Linked DNA regions of Ovis aries. Each later gene encodes a partner of the first gene's protein in a complex. Links are inferred from orthologs where the notes say so. Each region holds a gene or a part of one and is shown on either strand. Other genes may lie near its edges.

The links.
Region 2: TTF2 (region 1) and A-kinase anchor protein 17A share a complex: the UniProt entries of both Homo sapiens proteins name them as parts of the spliceosome. The link is inferred for Ovis aries from reciprocal best matches to the Homo sapiens genes TTF2 and AKAP17A.

Annotation. Positions count from the first base shown.
Region 1 is NC_056054.1:94,476,388-94,488,017, reverse strand, and holds part of TTF2 (transcription termination factor 2), read right to left. Parts: intron 6,087-11,630; coding exon 6,020-6,086; intron 4,720-6,019; coding exon 3,718-4,719; intron 3,393-3,717; coding exon 3,278-3,392; intron 2,727-3,277; coding exon 2,544-2,726; intron 838-2,543; coding exon 710-837; intron 1-709. UniProt on the Homo sapiens protein: DsDNA-dependent ATPase which acts as a transcription termination factor by coupling ATP hydrolysis with removal of RNA polymerase II from the DNA template. May contribute to mitotic transcription repression. May also be involved in pre-mRNA splicing.
Region 2 is NC_082741.1:863,322-875,578, reverse strand, and holds the start of A-kinase anchor protein 17A, read right to left. Parts: upstream 5,606-12,257; 5' UTR 4,743-5,605; coding exon 4,609-4,742; intron 3,981-4,608; coding exon 3,203-3,980; intron 2,628-3,202; coding exon 2,479-2,627; intron 1-2,478. UniProt on the Homo sapiens protein: Splice factor regulating alternative splice site selection for certain mRNA precursors. Mediates regulation of pre-mRNA splicing in a PKA-dependent manner.

The DNA.
Region 1 (11,630 bases):
TGATCATCTCACATTGACTGTACACGCATTTTTACTCCAACTAGTTCATTAAACGCAGCAATTCGTCTGCATCCCTGTGGTGCCTATTGAAGCTCAATAAATGATAAATGCATCTGTTACTGCTACAGACATATAACTTAATGATGTTAAGGAAAAAAAAGTGTTTTTTATTTTCACTGCTAAACAGAAAAAAAGCAAACACCATAAGGGAAACCACTTGAGTGTGATTTGTAGAAAAGATATATCAGAACGGCTCTCTAGGACTTCCCTGGTGACAGAGTGGACAAGAACTCACTCAACAGTGCAGGGGACACAGTTTCAATCCCTGGTCCGGGAAGATTCCACAGGTCCTGGAGCAACTAAGCCCAGCACCACAACTACTGAAGCCCACATCCTGGAGCCCATGCTCCACAACGAAAGAAGCCACCTCAATGCGAAGCCTGTGCACCTCAAGGAAGAGTAGAACACCCTTGCCTCATGCAACCAGAGAAAGCTCATGTGCAGCAACAGAGACCCAGAGCAACCAAAACTAAAAGCACATAATAAAATTTTAAAATAGTAAATTAAAAAACAAACCAAAAAGGACTATTTAAAGAAAAACAATGAAGAATGGCACCCTGCTAGGCACTTTCCCAATGGTTGGGCCCCCTCCTCGTGGGCGCTAGGGCATTATCCAGGATACTCTGCCCTGCGGGCCTTCCCAGCTCACCTTCAGCCCAGCTGGATCCTCTGCCATGGCGGTCTCCTCAGGACAAGACTCAAGAGAGCGATGCAGCTCATCAATGGCTTCACTTGTGATCTTCCACACTGCATGAAGGCCATTCTGGCTCACAGTGCCTGCAGACAAATCGAGATTGTGAGTATGTCCTGACAAGAGCTGAAAAAAGGCAATTCATTATTTGCCAGATGATGGATCTGTATGGGCTAAAAATTCTTGCCTCCAGATTCTCCTAGCCGCTCTGGCTCCTTTAGCCTCATTCTCTGTATGTCCGTCTTTTAAAGTTCCCATTAATAAGTGCTCTAATAAAGGACAAAGTAATAGAAAGTATAACTAAAATATAAGATAATCTATAATATTTTTAATTTTTTTTCAGCTTTGAAGAGGTGGCAGAGAAAACAATACCATCAAAATTTTTGGAAAAAAGGACCCCTGGGGCTGGATTCCAAGAAGAAAAGCCAGCAATAGAAGAGACCGAGCTACAGGAAGCTGTCAAACTTTAGGCACAGAGAGAGCCCCAAATATGCACATCCCAAGATGCCTGCACTACACCGGGAATACTTCAGTGTTGGAGACCACTCGTTCTATTGATACACAGAGAACTTCTACTCAGGTTAGGTAATAAATACAAGCACCTTAGCTGGTTGCAAATTTAGGGATGAAGTACCCAAATAAGAGGTTTCTAAACGAATAAAAATTAATTATCCACTTAAACATTAAAATGTTTTTAAATGAAAATCTATTTTAATGGGATTCTTTCCTAAACATACTACATAACTTCTTACCTTAATAATCCACCTTAATTTCTCTAGGCAACTCCATCACCATGGTGATGACTGCACGACGCTGTCATGCAGCAGTGTTCCTCCGTCTGGAGCCTAACTAGGCTGTGCCACTGGACTAAATACGTTTTCTGTTTTGTTTCAGAGGAAGTAGTTAATTCACAACACTGTGTTAGTTTTGAGTGTACAGCAGAGTGACTGAGTCATATGTATTTTTTTATCTATGTTCTTTTCCATGATAGGTGGTTATAAGACATCCCGGTGCTATACAGTAGATTCTTGCTGCTTATCTATTTTCCCTAAATAAGCACATTTTCTCTGCGCCCTTTTAGAGGGATCCTTGGGTCACATGGCACCCTGTCTATCCCTTACCCTCTTCTGGCCACTGCTTTCCAACTTTTCTCCCCTCCCTCCGGTTTTCTCTTTTCTCTCCTTTTCCTTTCCACAACCTGAGCAGTTCTCAGCAGACAACCGGCTTTTGCTTTTCTCATCGCTGTCAGCCCAGCCGAGTTCCTGTGTCCTGGTCAGTAAACCACATGATCATATTACACAGTTGAGGCTGTTCTGGGGATCCTTCTCCTGCAGCTACTTCAGAATTCATTGCTGTCTGTAGAGTTCAGGATGGAAACGCTCATTTAAATAGGGTGGTGCTGCTCTCTGTGGGTCTATTGGTCACAGTCGCTTACTCCCCTGCCCTGCCTCAGCACACGCACACACAGGACTACAGACATATCCACTGGTTTGCCTTCCTCCTCATGATGTGAGTTTGAGTTTTCACTCACAAACATTTAGCAGATGACTCCCACATGCTGGCCACTAAGCTGGTTGATTAAGGGCCATGAACAAGGTCAATGAACAGGGCAGACACAGTCTCTGCTCTCAAGAAGGTCTAAATTACACTGTAAAAACTCAGCTGAGCACCCCCAGCTTTATTACACAAGACAGAATGGCTTCTCCCTTCTCATGGACACAAAGGCACCTACGAGGCAGCACTGAACTTGTAGGTGTAGCTATTCCCCCAGGGCCAGGCCCTCGGATCTCACCTCCACAGCACTGACCAGACCCTCCAGCAGCTTCCTGGTGGGCAGCCTTCAGTCCTTGAGAACCCAGAGGCCAGAGATCCTGACCCTGCAGGGGTTTGGGAGGCACCCAGCGGGGAGGGTCAGTGGTCTCTTTGGTGAAGTTACTCTGCTGAGGTTCTTGAGTGTTAAGCTTCTCCTTAGTGTCTGCTCAAAACACAGGGAAGAACAGATTACACTTCAGAAAAGTGAAGGAACTCTATGAGCGAGGTGAGGCCAAGAGGGTGGGATCACCATGAGCAGGGGAAGGCTTCCTAGAGACTGAAGAATTTAAACCGCTTCTTAAACAATGGGAAAAGACTTGAGTCCACAGGAAATAGGAGGAAATTTTTATCAATCACAGACCCAACTTAAAAGGAAGCTCTGAAACAGACAACAAGATGGGCAGGTCAATGCATCAACCTATTCTTTTAATGTCAGGAACTATTCCTCAGATTAAAAAAAAAATTTAAGTATTTATTGAATTTGTTACATTGCTCTTTTCATGTTTTGGGTTTTTTGGGGGGTGTGGGGCCACATGGCATCTGGGATCTCAGCTCCCCAATCAGGGACAGAACCTGCACCCCCTGCATTGGAAGGTGAAGTCCTAACCACTGGACAGCCAAGGAAGTCCCCCAACCTCTTCTTTATCGAAATGGCTCTCGAATGTCTCCTGAAGTTCACGCAAACCCCGGGTTCAGGGGCAGAACCCCTTTTACCTTGCTCTGGGGAGAGGGCCAGGGCACTGAGCGCTTCCTCCAGCTCCTGAATTTGCTTGAACAACTTCTGACCCTTGTCTGGAAGAGCCTGGATGTTCACCGATGCCAGTGTGTTCTGTAAAACAGATCCTATAAAATGGGTCACTCGCTCCTCTCGAGAGGTCAGAGGTACTTTCAGATTAAAACAGCCTAGAAAGCTAAAACTGTAGCACTAGTCTTTTAGCTATGTGTGTGAAAACCAGAACCTTTCTTCTTTCTAAACCCAGCTGATTTACCAATCCTGAACATACAACCATAGCAAAAGGCAGAAACTAAACATCCACCTGTGAGACCTTCCTTACATTAATATATTTCACACATTAATATGCGGTCGTGGCGCACCTGACCTGCCCACAGCAGGCAATGCTCCGACCTCATAAACAAACACAGGTGGCAGTTACCTTCTTGTGTCTCAGTTGTGTTGTAAGGAACACACGTTGGGCTGTCAGGTCTGAAGGTTCTCCCTTCTTGGAAACACTCGAGGCAGAAGAAACTTTTCTTTGCACGCTCTGACCAGGGAGCTTAAGGTCCTTCTTCTCCTGTGTGTCTGGAGGCAAGTCAAAGAGTAAGGGGCTCCCCGGCTTAAACGAAACAAAAACAACGTCATCGTCCTCACTGCCACCACTGCCTGTGTCAGCCTCTCGCCTCTCTCCTGCCGGGCGCCCTGTGGCCAGTGGCGCAGGCTGAGCAGCTGGTTCCTCTGGAGCAGGCGTGTCCCGGGTCCCCAACTGAGCCTGAAAATGGCCCTGGAGCAGACTCTTTTGGAGGGTCTGTGTGCTTGGGTCATTCCCTGTCTTTGTTTCTCTAGCCTCCCAGCTCTTAGGGTGCTCCTTGGTGAGGTGCTCCCCTTTCAGGGGCTGGCTTATTGAGTGCTGACTGTGAACAATTCGAGGCAAAGGCTTAGTTTCCTTTACTGTCGGAGGTTCTGATTCTTTTTGGACAGAATGACTCTCACTATCTGACTTCACCTGAAATGCAGATGGTTCTCTGAGCCCATTTCCACAGACCTGTTTGGCTTTCATCTCTAAAAGGTTTCTTTTGTGCATCCCTTCTATCTCCTTTGCTTCGCACTGAAACACTGTCTTCTCTCTTTGCTGTCTATCTTGAACTGCAGATTGTTTTTTCTTTGCTCCCAGGCCAGATGAGAGCTCTTTCTCCGCCCAGCACTTAGATTCCGGCTTCTGTTCCTTCTTTTGATCCAGGCATGGATCTCCCTTTTCTCTTTGCTTCTTATCAGCTGTCTTTTCCTCATCTTCACCTTTGATGAACTGTTTCCAGACGGATGGTTCTTGATTCTTATCAAGTACCTTGAACGGATTTCTCAGCTGGCTGGAAGGATAATGAGATGGCTCAGAGGCAAGCTGAGACTTACTGGTTCCAGAATGTTCTTTAGAATTAGGATCCTAAAAGACAAAGGAAATAATCTAATCTTAATATAAAATATGAATGCAACCTTCACACCTAGAAGGCCTTTCTTCCGAGGAAATGGGAAAAGTAAAAGCAGTAAAAGCAGTCCAGTTTTCCTAAACGTTCCTGGGATCATTTCCTGCTCTAGAACGGACTGCCAAACTCACACAGTATTCATTTCCTAACAGTACTTTCAATGCTTGGTTCTTTCTCTGTCCGTGATCACTGCTTTTACAGGTCCCAAGGAAAAGCAGTGTGCAGGTCAAACTGTTTTAATAATAGCAATAGCCACAATGTGTATTTTTCATGAAAATGACTCTCTCAAGATGAACTTTTCCCCAAACCTAAACAGCTCTGATTTTGGCTTTAGGATGGTTTCAAATCTAGAACCTTAAGTCCAAGCTATCCCTCTACAAGTCTCAAGACCTCCCTCAGTCTAGTTCCTCATGTAGTAGACATCTGCAGGGTCTCTCCTAGTTCTCACATTCCAGAAGCTTATGAATTACACCCAGTTTATATAAACATCAAGTAGATAACAGTCTATAAAAACATGCTGGGACTTCCCTGGCGGTCTGGGGGCTAATGCAGGGGGTCTGGGTTTGATCCCTGGTCAGCGAACTAGATCCACATGTCACAACTAAAGATCCTGCATGCTACAGATAAAATAAGAGTAGCCAAATAAATAAATATTAAAAAAAAAATTCCTGAGGTTAGTCAAGTAAATTTAAATTTTTTCCCTAAATAGGCGAATGCTAACTATAGAATGGGCTTCCCTGGTGGTTCAGATGGTAAAGAATCTGCCTGTAAGGCAGGAGACCTGGGTTCGACTCCTGGGTGGGGAAGATTCCCTGGAGAAGGGAATGACTATCCACTCCAGTATTTTTGCCTGGAAAATTCCGTGGACAGAGGAGCCTGGCAGGCTATACATAGTTCATGGGGTCAAAAAGAATCGGACAAAACCGAGTGACTAACACTACTATTACTAACTATAGAATGGATAGATATTTATGTATGACTGAGCTCCTTCACTGTTCACCTGAAACTATCACAACATTGTTTGTTAACTGGCCATACTCCAATATAATATTAAAAATTTAAAAAAAAAAAAAAAGATCCAAATAGTCCTTTGAATTAAGAGTCCCAACAGGGTCTACCTTGCTGAAAGAAAAGAACTCTTTCGGAGAAAGTTCAATGAAGACCAATCAGTTTATAATGGACTTTAGGGTCTTTTCAGATGATCCCACAGGTTAAACATCTTTACACAGTCAGATCTGAAAACAGACGAATAATTCCTACCTGCCATGGGATATTTCCACACCACTGTTTCCCCTCTGCTTTACTTTTAACACATCGGAAGAGCAACCTGATAAAGTATAAAACACAAATAACCGAGTTTGTGAAAATCCATTAAAATAAAAGATGAACTTGTTTTTAATTCAAGAAACCCTTTTATTTGATAACAGCTTTGAAAGGTCACTTGAAACCAATTACTCTTAACATGTACTCCATTTAAAAATTTTAATTTAAAAATTTGGACTCAGAGGGAGAGGGAGAGGGTGGGATGATTTGGGAGAATGACATTCTAACATGTATACTATCATGTAAGAAATGAATCGCCAGTCTATGTCTGACGCAGGATGCAGCATGCTTGGGGCTGGTGCATGGGGATGACCCAGAGAGATGTTATGGGGAGGGAGGTGGGGGGGGGGGTTCATGTTTGGGAACGCATGTAAGAATTAAAGATATTAAAATTTAAAAAATAAAAAACTAAAAAAAAAATAAATAAATAAATTTTAAAAAAATAAAAAAAATAAACATTCTTTACCTCATAGGATATTTACAAGACCTGAGAAGTGAAAGAGTACAGATGTCATAGTAACCAGAGAGTAGTCATAGATTAATTCTTTTAACTCTACAGAATGACTGACATGGGAACACTGATCCACAAGGGCTGCTAAAATCAGAAAAAAGGAGATAACCAGACATTATGTGTCCCTAATGAGAAGCCACAATACTTCCTATAAAGTAAAACCAAAAAAATAAGCCAATCAAAGATTTCCCCAGTTATCCAATGGCTAAGACTGCACCTCCTCTGCAGGGGGCCTGGGCTCCATCCCTGGTCTGGGAACTAAGACCCCACAAAACTTATAGTGGCGTGGCCAAGAAAAGAAAACTAAGACAAAAACGAACCTGAATCTGGTCAAACCCCTGGGTCCAATTAACAGTTTACAGGAAATGCAAACAGATGAACACGTAAAACTAGACCAGGGGATGCAATCTGCAAACTCTTCACAGTGGGAAGTGCTATAGAACAAACAACCTGATTCCTTCAATAAGTAAATCACAAGGGAGAAGAAAAAGACTGGGGGGACCTATTTAAGAGACGTAAAGAGAAAATCAATTACCTGCAACCTGTAGACCTTATTCAAATCCTGACTTAAGCAAACGAGCAAAAACTACCAAAAATAAACTATTTATAGTATTTATGAATCTTCTGGAAATCTGTACTCCAATTGGTTAAAAAAAACAGTCCATATTTTTTTACAGCTATGCACTGAAATATTTACAGAAGAAATGACATTATGTGGGATTTGTATCCAAACATGGAGGAGCTGGTAGGTAGGGTGCAAGGATATAGATGCAACAAGATTCGCCATGAGTGTGACTGTTGAAACTCACATGCAGTAATTCTATCCTGCCTACTTTTGTATATGTTTCCAATCTTTCATTAAGAAAAAAAAAAGACTGACTACAGGCCTACATCCCAGGGCAAGGCAATCGCTGCTCACACAAACACTACCTATATTCCAGCTATGCAAAAATGGCTGTGCTGTCCCGAGCTCAAACTAAGCCACACCCTCTCCATCCCACTGGACTTTGCACGTGTACCACTCTCCATCCAAAGAATATCCTCCTTACCCCTATTTGCCCACCATTACCCCATCACCAGCTGTCAATCCTACAGGTCCTGCCACACCCAGTTCAAGACATACCGCCTTTGCATGCTCTCTGCCCTGTTCATGCACTGTACTGCTTCTGTATTTTTGTTGTATATGGTTATATTATGCTTATATCTGCCTGTCAGCAACTAGAAGGCGATAACTCTCTCTTTATTCTTAAGCCTCGCTGTTTGTACATAATAGTTAAGTATTGTTGAAATTAACAGAACCAACTGAATTCTTCCTTACCCCAAATAACTCCTCAAAAACATTTAATCAGTTAAATAAGAGCCTTTGACATATGTATTCCATTTAATTGTTTAAATAGGTAAAATGCTCAATCAAAAAGTATAAAACGACAGCGAAAAGCACCTCCGCTCCATCTGTTCAGTTCACATCCCTCCCACGTAACCATTTCTCTTAGTTTTTGGTTTGCCTTTCCAGAGATAGCTTTAATGAATATTTAGGTCAATGTATTTTATTTATTTCTTCCTTATTTACTCAAGTGGGTAGCATAGTATGCTGTGCTGTGCTTAGTCGCCCAGTTGTGTCCGACTCTTTGCGACCCCATGGGCTATAGCCTGCCAGGCTCCTCTGTCCATGGGGATTCTCCAGGCAAGAATATTGGAGTGGGTTGCCATGCCCTCCTCCAGAGGATCTTCCCAACCCAGGGATCAAACCCAGGTCTCCCTCATTGAAGTGGATTCTTAACTGTTTGAGCCACCAGGGAAGCCCAAGAATACTTGAGTGGGTAGCTTATCCCTTCTCCAGGGGCTCTTCCAGACCCAGGAATCAAACCAGAGTCTCCTGCATTGCAGGCGGATTCTTTACCAGTTGAGCTACCAGGGAAGCCCAGGGAACATAGTATACATACTACTAAATATCGTGCTTGCCGTTTTTAAAAAAACTTAACAACATGTCTTGGAGAAAAACATATACATAAAGGACTTCCTTATATGTACATATTTTCTACAACTGCAGTTTTTTACACAGCAGCAGTTTTCCACTATAAGGATGTTCCATTATTTATTTAACCAGACCCCTCTGGTTATTTCCAATCCTTTACTATTAATAGCAATATCACAATGAATAACCTTTTGCATATGCCATTTAACATGTGTTTTAATATATCCATTGGGCAACTCTCTATATTTCACACTGTATATTAGAGCCTTCACTGTTTTTCTTCATCAGTTAGCTTCTAGATTTTATTTATTAGCTCACTTTTTTTTTCCTTTCTACCTCATTAAGTTCAATTTTATCTGCATTAACTCCTGCTTTCGTTTTCTTTCTGTTTAATTTCTTGTCCTTTTTCTAGCTTCTTAAATTAGTACTGTGATACACAACACAAGGGCTTCATTGTTGGCTCAGCGGCAAAGAATCCGACTGCCAATGCAGGAGACGTGGGTTCGATCCCTGTGTTGGGAAGATTCCCTGGAGAAGGAAATGGCATCTCAGTATTCTTGCCTGAGAAATCCCAGGGACAGAGGAGCCTGGGGGGCTACAATCCATGGTCGCAGAGTCAAATACAACTTAGCAACGAAATAACAAATACGACACAAATCACAACAGTCTGAGTCCTAACTCAAAATGAATCCTGAGCAGATCACAACCCCTCGATGCCATTACTTCACTTGGGTGTAAAAGCAAAGATAACAAGCTCCAAATGGACAAGCGTTCCATAAGAGTGAAAAAGAAGACACGGACTTTCCTAGTGGCACAGATAAGAATCCACCTGCCAATGCCGGGACGTGGGTTTGATCCCTGGTCTGGGAAGGTTCCACATGGCACAGAGCAATTAGGCCCGTGCACCACAACCACTGAGCCTGCATGCTCTAGGGCCCACAAGCCACAACTACTGAGCCTGCACCCTGCAACCACTGCCATCTGTGCACCTAGATTCTGTGCTCCACAACAAAAGCAGCCCACACACAGCCTCGAGAGAGTAGCCCCCACTCTCCACAACTAGAGAAAGCCCACGCAGACAACAAAGGGTCCAATGCAACCCAAAAAAATAAATAAAATTATTTTTAAAAAATAAAAAAGAAGAAAGGACCAGCTCCTATCACACAAACTCATAATTTTCTCATTCAAGTTCACAATTAAAAAAAACCTGTGTTGGTCTCTTTAATTTTTTCTTACTGCAATAAGAAAATTTAGTTCTGAGCATATAGTTCTGAAAATTCCTGAAATGCCTTGATTGCAAAAAACTCAAAGGCTACTATTAGGGAGTACTACGACTTATAAAAACAGGTCAAGAACAAATTCTTGCTGCTGAAAATGTATCAAGTACTTGAAACCTTAACTGAAAGAATATTTTATAAACAGCATGTATTTTAAAGCCCAAACTTCATAGACTTTCAGGAGAAGGGCAAGATTTGGAGAAAGAGGGAAGTAAACAACACACAATGAGCATCAGCTATGTGCTAGGCACACTGCAAAAAATATTTCTGCTTACATTTTTATTAAAAACAATCTAGAAGAGCTTCTCTGTTTTTAGGATAAAAGTTTGTCATGTTTATTAAATTATAAATCAATAGAGAAAGCGGTGGGAATATATTATCATAGAGAAAGCAAACACTGAGTCCACTATGAAAAAGAGTGTAATTTCTACAGTATATTCGTTAATTATTTTCCAAGGCATAGGTTATGAACAAGAAAAATGAAGAAACCAGCTAGGGGTCATTCAAGACCAAGTTCAAGTCTCAATTCCTCCACTTTCTCAGTAACCTTCATCAGCCTTAATCTCTTACCATTGGTTTTACAGTCAGAGAAACATCTGGCACTCGAACACATACAATTTAGCACTCTAACATGCAGATCAGCGGAGAAGGCGATGGCACCCCACTCCAATACTCTTGCCTGGAAAATCCCATGGACAGAGGAGCCTGGTAGGCTGCGGTCCATGGGGTCGCGAAGAGTTGGACACGACTGAGCGACTTCACTTTCACTTTTCACTTTCATGCATTGGAGAAGGAAATGGCAACCCACTCCAGTGTTCTTGCCTGAAGAATCCCAGGGACAGGGCAGCCTGGTGGGCTGCCGTCTGTGGGGTTGCACAGAGTTGGACACGACTGAAGTGACTTAGCAGAGCAGAGCATGCAGATCAGACTGCTCACCAACCTTCCTGTGTCTAACTCTTAGCCCAATCGTGTCTTAGGGCCCTTAGAAATACGGGTTCCCTTCCACATGCAGCAATGGAAAAATATAAAGCTGGATTTCTACCTCACCTTTTACACAAAAATTCAAGATGGAACAAAAATGAATAGAATAAAAATGTAAATGTTCTAGGAACAAAAAAACGGAGATGAATATTTTGGCAATCCTAACGTAAAAAGGGAATGACAAAATCCTGCAGCTCAGAGATAAAGGATTTAGTAATTTGACTACATAGAGGTATTAAATGTCCATATAGTAAAAATACCATAGGCAAAATTACAAGACAAAGGACAACCTGGGGAAAGGAATTGCTGTACACATTATAAAAGGCTAATATCCTCTCCATGGGCTTCCCAGGTGTCCCAGTGGGCCTGCCAAGGCAGGAGATGCAGGAGATGCTGATTCAGTCCCTGGGTCAGGAAAATCCCCCGGAGAAGGAAAGAGCAACCCACTCCAGTATTCTTGCCTGGAAAATCCCACGGACAGAAGAGTGGGGGGGCGGCTACAGTCCCTGGGGCTGCAAACAGTCAGACACAACTGAGTGAGAGAGCACACACACATAATAATGTTCCCATACAAGGATTACTCCTGCGGTACAGCACAGTGCATGATACTCCACACATCTAGCACTGGCTTTGCTGAGTGGGCTTCTTTATGGGCTGCTGGAGCCCGAGGTCCTTCTGCATGTGTCTGGCTCATGTCAGTGCCTCTCTGTCATCAGCCTAGCTCATCATCATTGGGTTAGGTAATCTGCACGCCAATTTTACCCAGTAATCAACCGACCACAAAAGGGGTGTCCTAGATGTGCA
Region 2 (12,257 bases), on another chromosome or scaffold:
AGCGCTGGACAGGCCCGGCTCCCACTGCACGAGAGACCCCTGCCCTGGGCTTTCCCATCCCGAGCCCCCAGCCCCGGAGCTGGAGGGGAGCAGGAATGCACCCGGTGGCAGGAAGGTTCTAGAAGCACCCAGCTACTGGAAGCCCCCAAGAGAACACACTGCATGGCCTTTCATGGGGACTTGCAGAAAAGGCATATGTTCAGTGACACAAAGCCAATCCGGCTTGCTCTGGGGAGGGAGGCGGCCCTCGGCACAGGGGCCCCACAGCACACACCCCGGGGAAAGCCCGTGAGGTCACCTGGGGACAGTGGCAGTTCCGTAAGCACCCGCAGAGCGCCGGCCAGCTCAGACCCAACAGCACCCTTTCCTCACCCAGAAGCCAGGACCCCAGCACAGCTGGGAGGGATCCGGGCCTCCAGGGGCGGGAAGACCAATGAGCGTGTCCTCACGGAACACTCGCACCCCTCAGACTTAACCTTCAGGCCAGGGGCAGGGCGGGCACAGCAGAGAGGCAAGGCCACCCTGGACAGCACGTGGCACGGGGACGCCAAGGCCAGGAAGGACACTCTGCAGAGGAGCCGGCATCACTCCCAGGGCGCCAGGCCCGCAGAGAAGCAGCGCTGGACGAGGAGGCCGGAGGACCCACGCTCCAGGCGTGGGGGGAGGCCGGGTCACGCAGGGAGGCGAGGCAGCTCGCGAGGATGCTGGCGTCCGGGAGGCCACACACCAGACGGTCTCCCGCAACAGGGGTCGGTGAGGGGCTGCCGCTCAGACTGCTGGTCAGCGGCCCTGAGTGCCCAGAGCCCTCACCTGTCCAGCTAAGGGCCCATAGCCAGGAACAGGACTGCTGCAGGCCACGCTGTACCTCATTAGCAGGAAAGGACCAACTCGCTCGCCCCTGACAAAGGACAGACGCCCAGGCTCCCGGGCCGGCCTGCAGGCTAACAGTGAGGCCAACTGGGCTTGGACACAGCCCTGCACACCCGAGGGCCTCCCGGGCACCCCCGGGCCCATGTTTCATGCCAGGCCAGCCCTGCCAGCCGCCTCAGCCCCGTCAGAGGTACCGCCCCGCCGACTTTGAGTGTCCCCACCACGACACGACACCCCTTGCCGCCTGAGCTCAAAGGCCACCCTCAGGGCGGCTTTCCCCGCATTAATGTGCAGGTGGAGAAAAGCGCCTGCCCCGAGACCCTGGAAAGGCCATGGGGTAACCCCTGTGACACCCAGCTCGGGGACTGCGCACAAGGTCGATCGCGGAAGAGAGAGGACGGGGCCTGCCTGGGACCAGGACCCGTGGTCCGCATGCCACCAGCGCTCCCTGGTTCAGCCTGTGGTGGGCACGTCGATCCCGCGGCCTCGTCCAGTGTGAGATCCAAACTGCTCCCCCCTTGTGGCCGCCACCTGAGGCCTGCCATGCACCCAGGACACCCCGCCCTCTCTGGGCACCTGTCCTCTCTGCAGCCACAGCCTCACTCCGGGGCTCCCGACCCCCTACCCGTGTCCACACCCCCGCCAGCTGCCTGCGCACAGGCCAGCACCATCTCCAGCACCTGCCACTCTGGCACTGGGTTCCGGAGCAGACAGGGGAAGCGCTGACCCCCGAGAAAGGCCCGAATCTGTGTTAGTGAGCATCGGAACCAAACGGGAACCACACAGGAGCCCCAAGGCCGGAGCGGCGCACAAGCCAGGTCAGCCCAGACCCACACACAGGCTGGTGAGGAGAGAATGCCGGAGCACACACGCCTGAGACTCAGCACTCTGCAAAACACACAAGAAACCCTGCCCGCCGCACACACGGACAAGTGCGGGACAAGCGCCCGAGCACACGGGTCACGGTGGAGCACCAGGAACTGCCGCTCCTTCCCAGAAGCCAGCTCGGCACACTGGCCAGCTTGCCTGCAGGGCTCACAGCATGCCACGCGCAGTCCCTTCAGTCGCGTCCCACTCTGCGGCACCACGGAAGCGGCCCGCCAGGCTCCCCGGTCCACGGGATTCTCCAGGCCAGCACACCACAGTGGGCGCCTTTCCCTTCTCCAGGCGATCTCCCCAACCCGGGACTGAACCCGCACTCTCTCTTACTGAACTGGCAGGCAGGCGGGCTCTCTTCCTCTAGCGCCAGAACGTCAAAGCAAGAAACAGAGGTCCTGAGCCAAGACGCCTGACTCAGTGTCACTTCACAGGGCTCCTGAACGGCTCTTGCTGGGAAAGGCCAACAATACCCTCACTTCCCTACTTCACTTAAAGGCAGCTTCAGCCTGAACGCAAAACACCTGTAAGCTGGACAAAACTTCCGTGCCCGCGTCAGCAGGGTGCTGCACGGTGCCCCGGGAGGCTCAGCGAGAAGGAAGGCTCAGCGAAACGCCGGGTGGGAAGCCGGCGGTGCCCTGGGGGTAGGCCGCAGCCCCGCAGTCCCGCTGCGTCTCCAAGGGGACCGACGCATGCACCCAGGCCCGCAGAGCCCGGCCCCGCAGCACGCACCTCTCCTCAGCTCTCTGGCGCTCCTCTGCCTCCTTCTCCCGCCGTTTCTGCTCCTCCCGCTGCTGCTCCAGCTCCTGAAGCTTCTGTCTCTCGAGCTGCCGCTTCTTGATGGAGGCATCGCTCAGGTGTTTGGTGGAATCGAAAGAGACCTTCGGAGGCAGGACAGGGCAGGGTTAGGAGGTGCACGCACCGTCCTGAGCACGCAGACAAGCCCGTGCTCACCGGACGGCCTGCCTCAGACTCACCGCAGAGAGCGGGGACCCCCAACGCCCTTGACCGGGGGGACCTCGGGACTGCGGGGCAGGGCTCGAAGTCAGCGCTCAGGGACCCCACCCCTTCCAGGACGGCCCCTTCTGCCGGAAACACCAGGGCCTCCGGAGGCCAGCCCTGCATGCAAGAGCTTGACTCCTTCCCCCTCCTGCGGTGGGCGCCCCCCGCCCTCCGCAGCCAGCTGCCTTCACCACCCAGCGCCCGGGCACAGCTCGCGCCCCGAGGGCCCCGGCTCCTCCGCCAGCCTGACGTGGGGAGCCAGCACGAGCCAGAGTCCGCGGCGATGATGGACAGCGCCCTCATTTCAAGGGCGGCTGCGAGCGTGTTCCACTTCTCCCCACGTTTCCTGAGACACAGAGTGCGCTCACCGCGTGGGGGGCCCAGGCAGCCCTCCCCATGTCGGAGGCCCTTCGGGGCGCAGCCCGCCGCCCCGCCTCCCCCCCACCCCCCGCACCTTGATGTTGCAGGCCACAGCCTTGCCGTCCTCGCCCTTGAACATGAGCTTCATGCCGCGCAGCGCGCTCATGGCCTGGATGAAGCCGGCGTACTCGCGGTACTGCACGTAGGCCTCGAAGTTGAGGTGGCCGCCGAAGCTGAAGGTGTGGAAGTTGCGGCCCGTCATCTCCTCGCGGTAGGGGTCCAGCATGGGGATGTCCACGTTGCGGATCTCGCCGAAGCGCTCGAACACGCGCACCAGCACCTCCTCGCTCGGCTTCTCCGAGCCCGACTCCTTCAGCGAGAACCACTTGCAGGGCAGCCCCTCCAGGTGGATGGTGTCCGGCCGCTCGCCCGGCAGCGTCTCGTTCATGTCCTTGGCGTCGCGGAAGAAGGAGTCCCAGTCGTGGCGCGTGGGGAAGTCGACCTTGAACTCCGCGGCGCGCACCTTGAGGATGTCGGAGAAGCCGCTCAGCTTGATGGTCTTGCCGTCCAGGCAGGCCAGGAAGGACTTGACGAGGCTCTTGTTCTCCACCTCGCCCTCGAAGCGGATGAAGTCCATGGTGCTCTTGGAGATGCGCAGCGTGGAGAACTGGTGGTGCTGCACCATGCCCTTGAGCCGCTCCATCACCTCCCAGTTGGAGATGGACTTGCCCGGCTGCTTCAGCTGCGGCAGCGCCACGCTGATGGTCATCTTCGTGATGGGCTTCAGGTACAGGCCGTGCAGCGGGCACAGCTCCACCGCCTCAGACGTGTCGTGCACGATGGTGGCCGCAGCCATAGCCGGGACCTTGGGCCTGAAACACAAGACGCGCACGCCGCGCGTTCACGGCCGGCCCGCTGCCCCGCCCCCAGGCTGGCCAGCACGCGGCCCGGGGCACGGAGGCCCGTCTGCCCTCCGCGTGCCCGACACACTAGTCGCTACGTCAGGGAAGGCCCCTCGGCCCCTCAGGGTTAGTCGCTCAGTCGTGTCAGACTCTCTGTGACCCCGCGGACGGTAGCCGACCAGGCTCCCCTGCTCCTGAAATTCTCCAGGCAAGAATACTGGAGTGGGTTGCCCTTCCCTTCTCCAGGAGGGGGGGTCTTTCCCACCCAGGGATCAAACCTGGGTGTCCTGCATTGCAGGCAGATGCTTTACTGTCTGAACCACCAGGGAAACCCCAGCCCCTGACATGTGGGCCCTTTTAATCAGATTACACAAATGCAGGGGAAAAAAATTTGGGTTTTCAAAACTTTTAGGAACACTTGCTTGCCCCAAGCCTCCATGGGCACTGAGCTGCCCCCAATACTCAGAGGCATCTCCACCAGGGCTGGGCTGGCAGGAGCCCAGATGGGCAGGGTCCCTGCCCTCGGGATGTGGGGGACAGGCCACCTCCATGGAGGCTGCAGACGTCTCACTGGGGAAGGGACGACCCACACAAGCACCTGGGAAGGTCTGTGCCGGAGGAAGCCCGCGGAAACAGGAAGGAACTTTCAGGCTGAGAGAATGGTTGAAGACCGTTGACTTCAGTATCTCTACCGCAGGCAGAAGCATTTTCTCTGTGTCCAGATAAAACCATCAAAGCCGCGGGGCCTCTGGGAAGCCGCGGACGGGGAGCTGACTGTGCTCTCCTCCCCCTCAACCAGCTTCTCCCTACCGGTCAGACAGGTGCCTACTTCCGCAAAGCAGGGCCAGACCTGACCCACGGACAGCAAACAGTAATGGAGGGGGCCTTGGGCTGTGTGCCCGCGCACCAGATGGCTCTGAGAGCTTCTGACCAGGCCTGGGTTCAATCCCTGGGGCGGGAAGATCCCCTGGAGGAGGGCATGGCAACCCACTCCAGTATTCTTGCCTGGAGAAAGCCACGGACAGAGGAGCCTGGTGGGCTATAGTCCACAGGGTCACAGAGAGCCACGACTGAACAGCTCAGCACACACACACACCCAGACCCAGGAGAAGCTGCAGGGACGGGGGTGGAGGGGTCCCAGCTGGAGGGAAGAGCCACCTGGCCCAGGTCTGGGGCACCAGGGAGGGGGCTCAGCCTGGGCTGAGAGTGGCGACAGCCCCCCTCCACCCGCAGAAAACCTCCAGACCTCAGAGAGAACTTGAGTCAGAGACTCCGGAAGCCCACTGCCTACTAGGAACCCTGGGGATTCCCATATTCCCTGGTCGCCCAGCTGCCCCTGCACCCTGGGGATGACCCCCAGCCCCTTCGCTGCACCCCTGTCAACACACCCCTGGCAGCCCCTCACGATCCCCATCGCCTCCACCCCTCCAAATGCTCACCCCACTGGCCCAACTCCCGCCTTCTCTCTCCCCAGCCGCCTCTGTGGCCCCCGGTTACCCCCTCCAACCTCCAGTAACCCCTAACTTCACTCCCCGTCCCAGTACAGCCTGCTTACCTCTTACCCTGGTGGACCCCGATTCGCCTGCAGGGACCCTGTCCACCCCCCGCCCCAACCCCGCAGCTCCCTGGAGACCTCCCCTCCTCTGCTCAATCGCCGTTGTCCCCTCTCCCAAATCCTCTCCCAGAAGACGCCCCCCACTCTCCGCACCCCGGGGAGACCCCCGCAGCCCCCAGCTGTCCGTCACCCCAAGCCCCTCAAAGGCTTTCGACCCCCAAAGCCCACACCCCCAAGTCCCCCAGACCCCTGCTCCCAAGTCTGCAGGTCCAGGACACCCGTGCCCCGGCCGTCCCGGGAGACCCCCGCATCCCCCAGCCCCCGGTCATCCCCAAGCCCCTCAAAGGCTCTCGACCCCCGAAGCCCCTGCCCCCAAGTCAGCAGTCCCACGAGACCCCGTGCCCCGGTCGCCCCGAGAGACCGCTGCAGACCCCAGCCCGCGGCACTCCGTCACCCTCAGGCCCTCAAAGGCTTTCGACCCCCAAAGCCGCGCCCCCAAGTCCCCAGGCCCCCCGCTCCCAAGTCCGCAGGCCCAAGAGACCCCCGCAGCCCCCGGCCGCCGGTTCTCCGTCACCCCCAGACCCCCCGCCCCCAGGCCCCTCGAAGGCTCTCGACCCCCGAAGCCCGCAGGCCCAGGAGAGCCGCGCCCCGGCCGCCCGCCCCGCGAGGCCGCCCTCCCCGGCCCCCCGACGCCCCGGGGTCCCCGGCGCCCGGCGGGCGGGGCCCCGTCCACGTACCAGGCCGCCGCCGCCCTGGCCCCAGCGCTCCCGCGGGCCCCCGACGACGCCGGCAGGCCCGGCCTCCCCGCCCGGCGCCGCCACCGTCCGCCGGAGGCGCCCCCGACGCGACCCGCTGCCGCCGCCTCGGCCGCCGCCGCCGCCCGCCCCTGTGACGCATTTCCGCTTCCGCCGCTCGGGCCCGCGGAAGCAGGCCGCGCGGCGGGCCCGGGTTTCTCCTCCTGGCCATGGCCCCGCCCCCCAAGAGGCGGGACTTCCGGGGCGGCGGTGGGTGGGGCCGGCCGGCCCGGGCTTCGCGGTGCGCGTGCGCGAGCCCGCCGCGCCCTTCCCCCACCCCGCCCCGCCCCGCCCCGCCCCCAACCCTGCCACCTGTTTTCAGGTCCAGGCAGAGGCCTCACCTTGGGGCCCCAGGGTGAAGACACCGGACTCGGGACTCAGGCCGGCTGTGTGGGGCACACTGCTGTTACAGTCATGCGTCGCACATGAGATATCGTTATGAACTATGACAAGTGTATATTTATTAATTACTGATTTTATTCCGTATGAGTATGGATTGCTTGTATGACATTGTTATATCATGCTATAATGTAGCATACATATAATGCAACGGGCTTCCCTGGTGGATCCATTGATAAGGAGTCCGGCTGCAATGCGAGACACCTGGGTTCAATCCCTGGGTTGGGAAGATCCCCTGGAGAAGGGCATGAATACCCACTCCAGTATTCTGGCCTGGAGAATCCCGTGGGCTATAGGCATCGCAAAGAGTCAGACACAACGGAGCGACTTTCACCTCCCGTAATGTAACTACACTCACTTAAGTAATATAGTGTTAGTATAAACATCTAGTATTTTACTATTGAAACTTTTTACATTTTAACATTGATGTTCCATGCTTACTTTTAAGGATGTCGGAAAGTAACAGAAATTGCATAATTATTATTTTATATTTTTGATATGCATCTGTGCATTTTATTATTTTAAATTGCTTAATATATAAAATGTAAATATAAATATATAATGTGCTTTCTGTGTTATATATCTGTGTTCTCAGTTGCTGAGTTGTGTCTGACTCTTTGCGAGCCCATAGACTGTAGCCTGCCAAGCTCTTCTGTCCGTGGGATTCTTCAGGCGAGAGTACTGCAGTGGGTTGCCATTCTCTTCGCTAGGAGATCCTGTTGACCCAGGGGTGAAACCTGTGTGTCTTGTGTCCCCTGCATTGGAAGGTGGGTTCTTTACCACTATGCCACCCACGTTATATATAATCGATTTCAAAAATAATGACCTTTTGTATAACTTTACCTGTAATATTTATCTTATGCATAATAATACAGTTAGGTCTGCTGCTGATACTGCTGCTGAGTCGCTTCACTCGTGTCCGACTCTGTGTGACCCCAGAGACGGCAGCCCACCAGGCTCCCCCGTCCCTGGGATTCTCCAGGCAAGAACAGTGGCGTGGGTTGCCATTTCCTTCTCCAGTGCATGAAACTGAAAAGTGAAAGTGAAGTCGCTCAGTCGTGTCCGACTCTTAGCAACCCAATGGATTGCAGCCCATCAGGTTCCTCCGTCCATGGGATTTTCCAGGCAAAAGAGTACTGGAGTGGGGTGCCACTGCCTTCTCCATACATTTAGGTCATTTTATGGTATAAATAAAATGGCTTCCCTCATAACTCAGTTGGTAAAGAATCTGCCTGCAATGCAGGAGACCTGGGTTCAATTCCTGGGTCAGAAAGATCCCCTGGAGAAGGAAATGGGCACCCACTGCTCAGTCGTGTCCAGCTGTTTGTGGCCCTTTGGACTGTAGCCCCCACCAGGCTCCTCTGTTCGTGAGATTTTTCAGGCAAAAATGTATCCCTGGGGACCTGTTAAATTTGGAAACTGCCAAGTACCAAGCAAAGCGAATTAAGACATGAGATACTCACTTTTCTTGGGGACGAGCAAGACTCAGAGACAATTGCAAGAATCTGGGAAATATTCAAAGAAAGTCCTTTTACATTTTTCAGCAAAATATCCCTCCACGGAATGTTCCCCAGAAACACAGAAGCAAAGTCCCCAGGGACCTTAATCCTCTGGAGGAGTGAGAAATACCAGGTATGTAAATTTCACTCTCATTGAGCATGATGGGGAATGGGAGCAGGATGCACGGTCACTTCCAGGGTGAGATTGCAAAGCTGAAGGAATTCTACAATTGAAGTTAAAGTCCATCATCTGTAGAGTCCAGCTAATGAAATGGGAAGTTATTCCGTGTGGGCCTGCCCTAATCAGGTGTTGGCATCCAAACCATTTAAAACGGCGGAAACACAGCCTGGTTGCCTCTGAGGAAGCCAATTGCCTGGTGGGAAAAAAGAAGCCGTTTGGCAGGAATTGGCATGTGGCTTCTGAGTGGTGAAGGTATGGATGCTGTCAGTCTAATGAAATGAGAAGAGTATTCTAGGTGGGCCTGACCTTGGAAGAAAAGCTATGACAAACCTACACAGCATATTAAAAAGCAAAGACATCACTTTACCGACAAAGGTCTGTATTCAAAGCTATAGTCACGTATGGATGTGAGAGTTGAACCATAAAGAAGGTTGAGCACTGAAGAATTGATGCTTTCAAACTATCTTGAGAGTCCCTTGGACAGCAAGGAGATCAAACCAATCCATCTTAAAGGAAATCAACCCTGAATATTCATTGGGAGGAATGAAGCTGAAGCTCCAATACTCTGGACACCTGATGTGAAGAGCCAAATCATTGGAAAAGACCCTGATGCTGGGAAAGATTGGAAGAGAATGGGGCAACAGAGGATGCGATGGTTGGATGGCATCACCGACTCCATGGACATGAGTTTGAGCAGGCTTCAGGAGATGGTGAAGGGCAGGGAAGCCTGGCGTGCTGCAGTTCACGGGGTCGCAGAGAGTTGGGCATGATTTGGCAACCGAACAACAACCGACCACAGTAAAGCGTGCCTCTCTACCCCATGCAGACAATGATGTATGTTCTGTGCTTAAATGTTGTTGCTCTGTTCGTTTCCGAGGGCTGCTGTGAGCTGTGACCCCAAAAAGAACAGAAATGTATACCCTCACTGTTCTGGAGACCAGAAAGTCTGAAACCAGCCAAGGCGTGGGTGCATTTCGGTTCCTTCCGAGTGCTCCCAGGAAGGATCTGCTCCGGGTCTGTCGGCAGGCTTTCTGTGGTTTGCTGACAGTCTGCAGTGTCCCTTTGAAACGGAGCAACAACCTATGGTCCTTGTCTCCCACGCCCTCCGCCTGCCTTCTGTCTGTAGAAAAATAAAATAAGCTTTAGCTGAAGCAGAAGTTTAATCAGAGAAGTAAGAACATGGCAGAACCACACAAAATCAGTCAAGCGAGACTAAATTATGACAGTTGACTCATTAAGCACAGTCAAGTACCTTCAGTTCCTCCCGAAGGGCTGTAGTGAAGTCAGAAAAGGCAACCCACTGCAGTATTCTGGCCTGGAAAAATCCCACGGACAGAGGAGCCTGGTGCGCTACGGTCCATGGGGGTCGCAAAGAGTCGGACACGATTTAACAACGGAGCACGCATTCAAGAGCTATAGAGGTTCTGAGCCACCTCCTGTGAGCTGTCTTGTAGATACTGACACCGCCTACCAGGGGGAGAAGTTAACAACGTCATGGCCAGGCTGTAGGCATGACATAGGCTGTCCCAGATCTGAGAACTGGCCTCAAGGAATGGGAACAAACTGACCTTGCAACTGAAGATTGATTGTACCTAAAACAACCAAGATGGGGCTGGTCAGACCACTGGTGACCGACCTGAGGATGACTGTCAGAGCTGACTGTGCTCTTTCCACGTGTAGCCCCCCTCCGACGTCCGTCTACCTAGGTATCCATCTGTTCATCGATCCATCCATCTACCCATCTGTCCAAACATCCGGGGACTCATCCACCCACTCATCCAGCAGTCCATCCATCCATCCATCCATACATCATCCATCCATACATACATCATCCATCCATCTATTCATCCATCCATTTACCCATCCATCATCCATCATGCATCCATCTATCCATCCATCCATCCATCTATCCATCTCACCATCCATCATCCATCCATCCATAAATATATATTCCATTATCTATTCATCCATCCACCCATCTGTCCATCTCTCCACCCATCCATCTCACCATCCATCATCCATCCATGCATACATCATCCACTCCCCCATCCATCCATCCATCCACCCATCTATCCATTTTTCCACCCATCCATCTGTCCACCCAATCACTCACTCATGCATCCAGCTGTCCACTGGTCTGACTATCCATCCATCCACCTGCGCATCTGCGTCCACTCATCTGTCCATGCCTCCATCCATCTGGGCGTCCGTATGTGCACCACGCACCCACCTCTCCATCTGCCCATTGGGCCACGCCTCTGTCCATCCACCTCACAGATCCATGCCTCTCAAGACTTGTTGTTTCACTCCCTAAGTCACGTCCAACTCTTTGTGACCTCGTGGACAGTAGCTCCCCCACCCAGGCTCCTCTGTCCGTGGGATTCTCCAGACGACAGTACTGGGGCGGGTTGCCATGCCCTCCTCCAGGGGATGTTCCCGACCCAGGGATCAAACCCGGGTCTCCTGCATGGCAGGTGGACTCTTTACCACTGACGGAAGGTCGCTCAGCCATGTCCGACTCTTTGCGACCCCATGGACTGTAGCCTACCAGGCTCCTCTGCCCATGGGATTTTCCAGGCAATAGTACTGGAGTGGGTTGCCATTTCCTTCTCCAGGGGACCTTCCCCAGCCAGGGACTGAACCCACATCTCCTGCATTGCAAGTGGACTCTACCACTGAGTCACCAGGAAATCTCGAGACTTTAGTCAGAACCACTCCTTTCCACCAGGTGGCGCATGCACCTCCTTAAGGAACTGGAGGGAGCTCCCTTAGATATCCTTTGGTCTGGTTTTGAAGCCAACGTTAATTATCCGTCCTTAGCAAAGGCATCAGCCTGGTCATTCCCCATGAACGTTACCCAGTTCATGGAACCCGTCCGTCCTCTGCACCTCAGCCTCTTGTTAGATCTTTATTTAGTCCAGAACTTTCAATGCAATTTCCCGTGCCTTTTCCTGTTCACTTGAAAGTTGTGTCCAGCTCTCTGCAACCCCATGGACTACAGCCCGCCAGGCCTCCCTGTCCTTTACTGTCTGACAGCGTTTGCTGAAACTCATGTCCATTGAGCCGGTGATGCCATCCAACCATCTCATCCTCTGTCGTCCCCTTCTCCCCCTGCCTTCAATCTTTCCCAGCATCAGGGTCTTTTCCAATGAGTCAGCTCTTTGCATCAGGTGGCCAAAGGATTGGAGTTTCAGCTTCAGCATCAGTCCTTCCCATGAATATTCAGGACTGATTTCCTTTAGGATAGACTGGTTTGATCTCCCCGCTTTTGTAGGGACTCTGAAGAGTCTTCTCCAGCACCACAGTTCGAAAGCATCAATTCTTCAGCGCTCAGCCTCCTTTGTGGTCCAGCTCTCACATCCATTCGTGGCCACTCCACAGCATAATAAAAAGTCGCCCTGTGAATGGAAGACAGAGCAGAGAATCCAGTCTCTGCTCTGCTGGAGTTGGGTGCACAAGTTCGTCTGATTCTCCAAAGGAGGTTGGACAAATTCTATTACATACCGCTTTCAACGTGCCCACATTGTCTTTGCGTCTGCAATCTCGATGTTGGTAATTCGTCCTATGGAATGATTTTCCCGCAGATACACAAGAGCATATGTGTAAGTTGTATTCCGTACGTTTGTGTGGCCGCTCCGCAAGGTGGCGCTAGGGGTAAAGAATGCGCGTACCCATGTAGGAGATGCAAGTTCAATCCCCGGGTCGGGAAGATCCCCTGGAGGAGGGCGTGGCAACCCACTCCAGTGTTCTGGCCTGGAGAATCCCATGCACAGAGGAGCCTGGCAGGCTGCAGTCCATGGGGTCGCAAAGAGACGGACG